2 linked regions of the Oryzias latipes genome follow. Each later gene encodes a partner of the first gene's protein in a complex. Links are inferred from orthologs where the notes say so. Each region holds a gene or a part of one and is shown in the gene's direction. Other genes may lie near its edges.

Region 1 (4,377 bases):
CTCTGCTCAAAATTAAACTTTGCTGTGAAATCGTGCCCCGAGTCAGTCAAAATTAAAAGCAACATTGAACTATCACTAAACACTACATGGAAAAATAGAAAACACAATGCTCAGGACATGAAGCTGGAGAAATAAAAGTTTATTGTTGACTGTAGGCTCAATGCATGTTGCAGAAAACTTGTACAAAAATAGAAAAAAAAATCTTGAGCATTTACACATAGCACTTGTAAAAACAAACGAGCGTTTGTGACTTGTGTAGTTACAAAAAGAATACACGGTATTCTAGGCCTACAAACTGTTATACCAACCCTCCACTACAATATTACAATATTACAGTGCATTAGTTCAGTGGTACAGTAATTTCTGGCAACATTTACTTATAATGCCAATAAAAGGCATTTTACCTGTTCTTTACCCTAAATCTTCGGATCATGGTGGACACAGTGAATCTACTGGCGTTTGGTTGTACCTGTTGTCCAGCCTCCCTCATGCTAATCCCATGGACAAGCACTTTGTCGATCCCAGTAGCTCTGATTTCATGAGATGTTACTGTTCTTTGTCTTTGCTGACCACCTCAACCACCATGAACTCTTCCTCTCAGATTTCTGTCCATTGTAGGGCCTCACAAACCAGTGCTCTCTGAACTGGCTTACTTTATATGTTCTCCCACAAGTGTGATCAGTTTTGAGTTGTTGTGTTCAAGTGGGGACACCTGTGCTTTCTTTGTGTTTGACTTTTGTCACCTGTGCACACCTTTATGCAGCACGGGTGTATCACAATGAAAATGTGTTGCCAAGTCGTGTCTAAACAGGTGAGAAGTACTTATGGTTCGGCCAAAGGAACGTTCGATGCAATCAGTGGGTTCAGGCAACTGGGCATTTGGTTCAGACAATAATAGGGTTTAGTGTTTTAGCAATTGAGAACAACTGTAAGCGAAACTTTTCCTGTAAACAATATCAATAAATTACAGTATAGGTACTGGTTTGCAGCAGTAAAACTATATTCATTAATGCAGATATATAAAATCCCTACATTATATAACAGACTCTTAAACGTTTGAGTCTCTGGGTGCTTAATAATTCCATATAATTATTTGACATTTAAAACAACTGAATTAGTTTTTTTTTATTATTATTATTATTTAGTTAGTTAGTTAGTTAGTTAGTTAGTTAGTTAGTTAGTTAGTTAGTTAGTTAGTTAGTTAGTTAGTTAGTTAGTTAGTTAGTTAGTTAGTTAGTTAGTTAGTTAGTTAGTTAGTTTAATGTACGTAATGTCCTGCTAATAAAAAAGAGCTTCCCTGTTAGAAAATTGAGTAATTCTTAGAAATGAACCATCTATTGTAACATTTTCTTTATAAAATTCAATAAAAAAAACAAAAAACAACGTTTTTCTCCGTTACTTTCATAAAAAAAAAACGAAAACACCTGACAGACGGATTTTATTGTGAAATTCCCCGGAAGTGTGTCGTGTCTCGCGGTTTTGTGTCGTCATCGTAACTGCAGTTACGCACGTTGCTAGTTAGTTGCAATGTTGTAGCTATTAGCGCGAGGCCGTTTCTTCTCTGGGGGGGCCAAACCCTGAAGGACACCGACCCCCGCTCCTCACACCCGCACCCGCTCGACTGCTCCCCGTTACCCGACAGCCGCTCCTCCGCTCCCGGTTCGTTAGCGGGCCCCGTTTGTTCGCCGCCTCCTTCCGCGAGCGCGACGGTTCCGGCGGCGGCTGAAGACCACCAACCATGGCCATGAGGCAGACCCCCCTCACCTGTTCGGGTCACACCCGACCCGTGGTGGACCTGGCTTTCAGCGGAATCACGCCTTTCGGATACTTCCTCATCAGCGCCTGCAAGGGTGAGCTCCAGCAGGCCGTTAGCCGGCGCGGGGTTCCGGTGGCTCGGCCGTTAGCGAGCCCCTCTGTCTGTGCAGGCAGAACCCGATCTGGTCGTGTGTCGGTTCTGACTTAAAACGATCCTAGAAAACTCGTAGAACAGACCTGGCGGATCCGGTTCTGATGAATGGTCTGATTTCTGAGCAGAACTCTGTCTGTAGGGAAGTTGTGGGTCTTACTGGTAACTGTAATCCATGAAAGTAACGAGAGTATCAAGTAAGGCTCCTCAGGGATTCCTCATCAAACTCTAGGAAAAGCTAGTAATTAATGATTATGTAACAAAACTCAGGACTTGGTTCAAGCCCAACAGTTACTTTGGCAAAAAAAAAGTAACTGAGTAAATGTAACTACCCGCCTCTGGTTCTGATCCAATCCCTTCTGTTAAAGATGGCAAGCCCATGTTGCGCCAAGGAGACACAGGAGACTGGATCGGAACGTTTCTTGGTCACAAAGGTGCTGTTTGGGGGGCCACTCTGAACATGGACGCCACCAAAGCCGCCACCGCCGCCGCCGACTTCACAGCGTGAGTAGATTTGGGAAACTGCCTGTTTTCCCAAGGAAAAACACGCTTCTTTCCTACTGGGAAAGCAGCCTTTTCCTCCAGGAAAGTTGTTTTAATAGTAGGAAACAAACTACTTTCCTCCAGGAAATGCACTGTTCTACCTGCTGGAAATGAAGAATTTCCCCCAGAAAATGAGCCTTTTTTTCCAGGAAACTTTTTATTTCACTGGCTTCTTACCTAGGAAAAAAGCTTTTGTTTTCCCCCCCTCCCCTGGAATCAGGGTTTTATCTAGGAAAGAAGCGGTTTCTTTTTCTCCAAGATAACTAGTTTCTGTGGATTTTTTTTTAAGAAGTTGGCTTATTTTTTTTCTGGGAGTCTAAACGTCTTTCCAGTAGAAAAGAAACTCCTGACAGTAGAGTTGCTTTTTATTTTCAGGCACCCTGACTTTGTTCTACCCTGAAAACTAGCTTGATTTTCCAGTGTGCCTTGGAGGCACGTTAGCCCTGGAAGTTGGGTCATCTAGACCCACTAGACAGTGCTCTGAACCTTTTTTCTTCAATGATTTGTGATCTTCACTGGTGTCCATGGATTACATGAAATCTTTCCACCTTTGTCATCGTAGGGAGAACACGTCGATGTAAGGGTGGGGTCATGTTGCTGCTTTGTAATCCGTTGCCCCCCAACACTGACCGTCCCTCTATGTTCCCCTGTCACACGCTTCTGACCGTGTCTGTTTTCTGCAGGAAGGTGTGGGACTCGGTCAGCGGAGACGAGGTCCTGTCTCTGGCGCACAAACACATCGTCAAGTCTGTGAACTTCACTCAGGTCAGTGTGGCGCCAGGCGTCTCTGCTTTCTTTGTCCGTGTCTGCGTATGCGGGTTTTGGTAGAACCGATGTGGGTTAAAGACCCCGTCCTGTTAAAATGGTGGTAATTTTTCTCACGACGGAGAACATATAGACAGAAAATTAAGCTCAAAATAACATTTCTGATGTTTAATTTTTCAAATCAGGAGCAGACACAAAAATGTCATATATGTGACGTAGGAAATAGGCTGGGGAGTCTAAAGCTTCCTGCTCTGCTCCATTCTGATCATCCACCTGCAGACAAATAGATCCATGAACGTCTTTGTGTTCCTGGTCTGAGCTGGAATCTGGATCAGGACTGGACGGCTTACTCCACACCACAACCAAGAGGCTCATTTCTGATGAAGTCCTGCCGCCCTGCAGAAACTATGTCCTGGAAAATGACCAAAAACCGCATCATCATCATCATTAGAACACTTTGAAAATAAATCACAAGATGATTGGAGTGGCACCAAACTGTAATAGTGGGCCAAACGTAACAACTTTAGCTCATCAAACATCACAGCAAACTGAACCGTAAAGAGGAAGTGCTTAACGCTGGGACACCATCTATACAATGATTGTAGTCACAAAGTGCTCCGTGTTCCTGCTGCTTTGATTTTACAAACATGAGACAGATAAAGCTCCTGGTGAACATTCATCAAGCCAGATGGAGGACAGTAAATCTGTGCTTGTGTCTGTTAGGACAGCAACCACCTTCTGACGGCGGGAAACGACAAGCTGCTGCGCATTTTCGACCTCAGCAACACCGACGCAGGTGAGATGCAGTTTGAAGGTACTTCTGCTAAACACGGCATCATGTGACCCCCCCTCCCCCCTCCCTGTGTTCATCAGCCCCACAGGAGATCGCAGGTCACGGCGCAGCCATCAAGAAGGCTCTGTGGTGCAACGACGACAAGCAAATCCTCTCTGCAGCCGACGACAAAACCATCCGGTCAGTTCTTCTCTGAACGTGGGTCCTGCCGGCGCTGCCGGCGCCCTGGACGGTCCCTCCCGGATGCTAGGAGAGTCCGAATTCCTTCCGTTCTCAGTATATAGTGCTTTTGACATTTTGTAGTTATGTCTGAATCTACAATTCCAAAATCCAGTGCACTAGAAATTTCCCAGAAGTCTCTGCGAAAAAG
Region 2 (4,288 bases), on another chromosome or scaffold:
TTTTTTATCCATTAATTCTACTTTAATGGCAAAAGACACTGAAAAACCACAATGAGGCTGTGTCATTTTTTTCTTTGGAGATTAAAACAAATGTTGGTCCTTTTGATTTTTAGATCCAAGAATATAAAAGTAAGAAGTTCTGGGAATGTTTATATTTTAAAAAATTGCTTAGTTCTGGTATCTTACTTTTCTGAGATATGTGAAACTTAAATGCTGAAAAGCAACAAGCTTTTGATAAGATGCTCTGAAACTAAAGAAATCAAAATCTAATTCATATTTAACAGGTCAAAAACACAAAAATTAGATTAGATTCAATATTATTGTCATTGCGTGAGTACAAGAACAGGCATCAAAATATTAAATTCTAACAGAATTTTCAAATTAGTTTAAACATGACTATATTTAAACATTCAAAATAAAACTCTTCCATCCAACGGTTAAATGAAAGTCAAAGATGTCAGCATCCCAAATAAACACTAAGGCTTTTTGTATAATAAGGAATATTGTTTTGTTCAACCAAAGACCTTGGATAAGGGACAATTTACATTAAGGTTTCATGATAAGGAGGCGACAGAGATATAAAAGAGATGAAAATTGGACATACACTGCCTGCCCACAGATCCTCCCTCTTTCCTGTAAGTTTGTGGTAGACAAAAATGATATCTCCACGTCTGAAGCTTAGAAAACGGCAGTCGTTACTCTTGTGGTCCCTTATGGCCTGAACCCTGCTCATTAGGCCTACACACACAAACACAAGTGATCAGTTGCATTAAAATGATTAAAATGTCTTTAATAAACCAACTAAGCTAAATTCATGCATAAAATATAACAGTATTTTTTAGGAACTTCAAACTATTTTGACACAAGTGTTTGGACTTACTTTCACACTCAGAATCTCCACAGATCTTGTAGTCGGATAACATTCCTGGATTTATAAGAGGCAAAATCACAAACGTTAGACCCACAATCCAACAGAATTTATGTAGCAGGGAAACATCCATTTTGGGTGCTTTAGCTGGAGTGTATCATAGAAAAAGTCCCATATTTGAGAAGAAATCCCTTTGACCTGCTGTTCAGGAAAGTGGACATTGACTCTGTGCTGTTTCTCTCATGAAACCTCACTAGTGGTAAACGAAAGAATGGAGATAAGATATAACGCTAGCATGAAGCTAATAATTAACAACGTTGCTCGTAACCTGATTGCAGAACAAAACAATTTAGCTCTAATGTCAAAAGTTTATTTTTTTCATTCACCAACTTGATTTGAAATTTTTTTATTTATTAAACAGCTTCTGCGGTTGAATTGAGGTATAATAAACGTGTTTAAATGCGCAACATAAAATGCTCGTGGACTTCGTTCCTTGTCGCTGCCAAAGTTTCAGGCGCTGTCACGTCACTATGGAAACAAATCTCGCCTCGCGCACAAAATTGGCGTCATCAAATCTAGTTTGAAAAACAAAATGGCGCTTGTTGGACAACAGTAAATACTAGCATCTGCCTAGTCTTCGTTTTAATGTCCTGATTTCGCTTAAGAGTTTTACATTATTAGCGGAAAATGAAGTCGGATGTTGAGGAGTTAATGCCAAGGCTGCTTCCGGTGGAGTTAGGACAAGACACCGAGCACGTAGACCTCAGCGGTCCACCGAGGAACCCCCAGGAGTACTTGCGACAGGTCCAGTAAGTTCTCCCTTCTGTTCTCATTAAAGTGGAAAGCCAGTGTTTTCATAATTAAAATGCTTTAGAATAGCAAAGCATTGGTATAAAAAAAATTGTATAAAACCAAAGTTCCTATTTACAGTCTATGTATCGAACCGTGGAATTAGCTCTCCACTTAGTATATTTAAGTGTTTCTGTTGTTTCTTTTCAACAAACTTTATTATCAATACTTATTGTATTAACTGAATAGAATAATATAGGTAAAAGAAAACACTACACAGGTTGCACAACACGTGCCACCTGTACTTTAATAATCAGTCCAGTCCAATTATTTTTGAACATAGAATATAAGTAAATAAAATATAATATGCCGTTTCTTTAAAATATCAAATGTTCTTGTCGCCTTCAATATGGACTGCTTATATGTATGAATGAGGAATGTCCCAAAAATAATGAACAGTTCAGTAACAAAACTTACCTTTTTGGGCAAACCATGTAATTAAAAATATAATATGACATTAAAAAAAGAATTCAGAGAGTTATATTAAATTTTGTGGTTATAAATTCACGCAGATCCGACCAAAATTGCTTGGTGTACATAGAAAGAATAAATAAATGAAAATTGTCTCCTTACTTGATTGGCAAAAAACAAAATTGTTCTGTTTATTTTAAATCTTCTTAGTGTATCTTTAACTGGGTAGAAAGCAAAATAAAACCTATTTTATTTTAATATTAATACAGTATTTATGAACAGAAGTATTAGTCTTTTCCCAATTTAAATCACCCATGGTTGAATACCAAAAAGATTTAGCAGCAAGAAATTCAACTTCTTCTAATAAAAAGATTATTGATTTCAACATCTGTGAATGACTCGTTTTAGAAATTGAAGAGAAGATATTAGCTGTGTTTCCCAGTGACCCCTCACCTCCTTGTGATGTAGGTTGGAAGCGTCCATGTGTCCAGAGGTGGTGGTTGCTCAAATTGACCCTAAGAAACTAAAGAAGAAGCAAACAGTCCATGTATCTGTAAGTGAAAATCTATTTATTTGGTCAAATCTTTATTTGTTAAGGCTTTGTCTGTGTGGTGAGGTCATGTATAGTTGACTCTGCAGCCAAGAGACATGATAATCTGGAAAACCATATTTTCTGTCTCAGGTAGCTGGGTGCCACGCTCCCCCAGTAGGTTTCTCCCCCAGCCTTCACTGGCAACAACAACAAGTCAGTAATTTTTCTGACGTGAGACGGGTAAGAAAAACTAAAAGAACAGTGTGTTGCTTTTATATCTCACTTATATTTCTGCTTATAATGTCTAATTTTTTAATTTACTAGAGCATCACCAAGAATAGAAAACATTGGAGCAGCCAGACTCTGGATAATAATGTACGCATGGTAAGATGTCAAATCCCGCTGCAATGTTAGCAAAGGTCAAAGGTGCTCATTTGCATAATATTTAAGTGTGATCTTTTACAGCCAAACCTTACAGATGAGGAGGGCTGGAAGAAGTTTTGTTTAGGAGAGAGGATCTACTTGGGCGCATCAGCCTGCCCCACAGATGCAAAACCAGAGGCAGAACTGGACTATAGCAAGGTTGTCAACTAAACTGTTGTTAGAATTTTTAAACGCCAAAGTTTTGAAACAAAAAGTTTCAAATAAGACTTTTTTTCTTTTTTGTTAACTTGTTCTGTCCAACAGCTGAGCAAACAGATCAGAGCTGAAGGCCTCTTGTGTTTGAGAGATTTTACTGTTACAATAGGGGGTCATGAATCTTCTGACACACAAGGGGTATATTTATTTAAACTCTTCTGTATTTGAGGGTAAACTTTATTTATATTGATTATGTTTGTATACCTGTTTTGAAAAGGGAAAAGGGGGGGGGGGTTAAAGGAAGTTGGAGCATGATCAAAGAAGTAGAGTGGGGGTAGATTCAGAATCATAAAGCAAAAAGTTGCTGGAGGTTTATCATTATTACTGTCAGATTAAGGCATTAGTCAAAAGGAGCTAACAGGTATGTTACAAACATACCTGTGTGAAATCTTCACATTCCATATGTCAACACATACACGATACAACTACAGCTCACACAAAAATACTTATGCATACATAAAGAGAGAGGAGCCAAGAAAGCACACCAACTTGACCGAGGCAGTTTGACCAGCCAGGGCTCTCCATGATTGTCTCATTGCTGACCCCAACCCTCTGTAGTCCCATCCTGATGGAGGACCCCCTTCCCAGAGGACAGAGCCAACCAGTCTACCAGCCCCCCCCCCCCCCCCCCCCCCCCCCCCCCCCCCCAGATCCTGCAGCCATGGCAGGTGTCACCCAGAGCAACTGCAAACCCCAAGAGGGTTGCCCCACCCCGTCCCAGGACCAGAAGAGTGCAGAGGTGCAGGCCCAGGGTCTCCTGCACCTGGGCCTGCACCTCCTCCTCCTGTCCTAACCCCCCCTGAAAAGACCACTCCCCAAGCCAAGCCAGACCCCCTCAACCGCACCGACCAAACTCTCCCAAGACCATGCAGTACCCCCACCTGCCCACTTCCAGGCGCCCAACCAGGTCCCCCTAACTAACGAAGCCTCCACTGCCCCCCTCCAGCCCCAGAAATAAGGCACTTTAATAGGCATGTTACATTGAGGGA

What was found.
Region 2: strap (region 1) and gemin2 share a complex: the UniProt entries of both Homo sapiens proteins name them as parts of the SMN-Sm complex. The link is inferred for Oryzias latipes from reciprocal best matches to the Homo sapiens genes STRAP and GEMIN2.

What each region holds. Positions count from the first base shown.
Region 1 is NC_019881.2:4,535,930-4,540,306, forward strand, and holds the start of strap (serine-threonine kinase receptor-associated protein), read left to right. Parts: upstream 1-1,460; 5' UTR 1,461-1,738; coding exon 1,739-1,850; intron 1,851-2,274; coding exon 2,275-2,410; intron 2,411-3,132; coding exon 3,133-3,214; intron 3,215-3,937; coding exon 3,938-4,010; intron 4,011-4,087; coding exon 4,088-4,187; intron 4,188-4,377. UniProt on the Homo sapiens protein: The SMN complex catalyzes the assembly of small nuclear ribonucleoproteins (snRNPs), the building blocks of the spliceosome, and thereby plays an important role in the splicing of cellular pre-mRNAs.
Region 2 is NC_019880.2:19,643,370-19,647,657, reverse strand, and holds the start of gemin2 (gem-associated protein 2), read left to right. Parts: upstream 1-1,423; 5' UTR 1,424-1,555; coding exon 1,556-1,677; intron 1,678-2,581; exon of another isoform or gene 2,582-2,596; coding exon 2,597-2,681; intron 2,682-2,810; coding exon 2,811-2,900; intron 2,901-2,984; coding exon 2,985-3,044; intron 3,045-3,125; coding exon 3,126-3,242; intron 3,243-4,288. Other genes in the region: transport and Golgi organization protein 1 homolog, read right to left, coding at 605-738, 881-1,001. UniProt on the Homo sapiens protein: The SMN complex catalyzes the assembly of small nuclear ribonucleoproteins (snRNPs), the building blocks of the spliceosome, and thereby plays an important role in the splicing of cellular pre-mRNAs.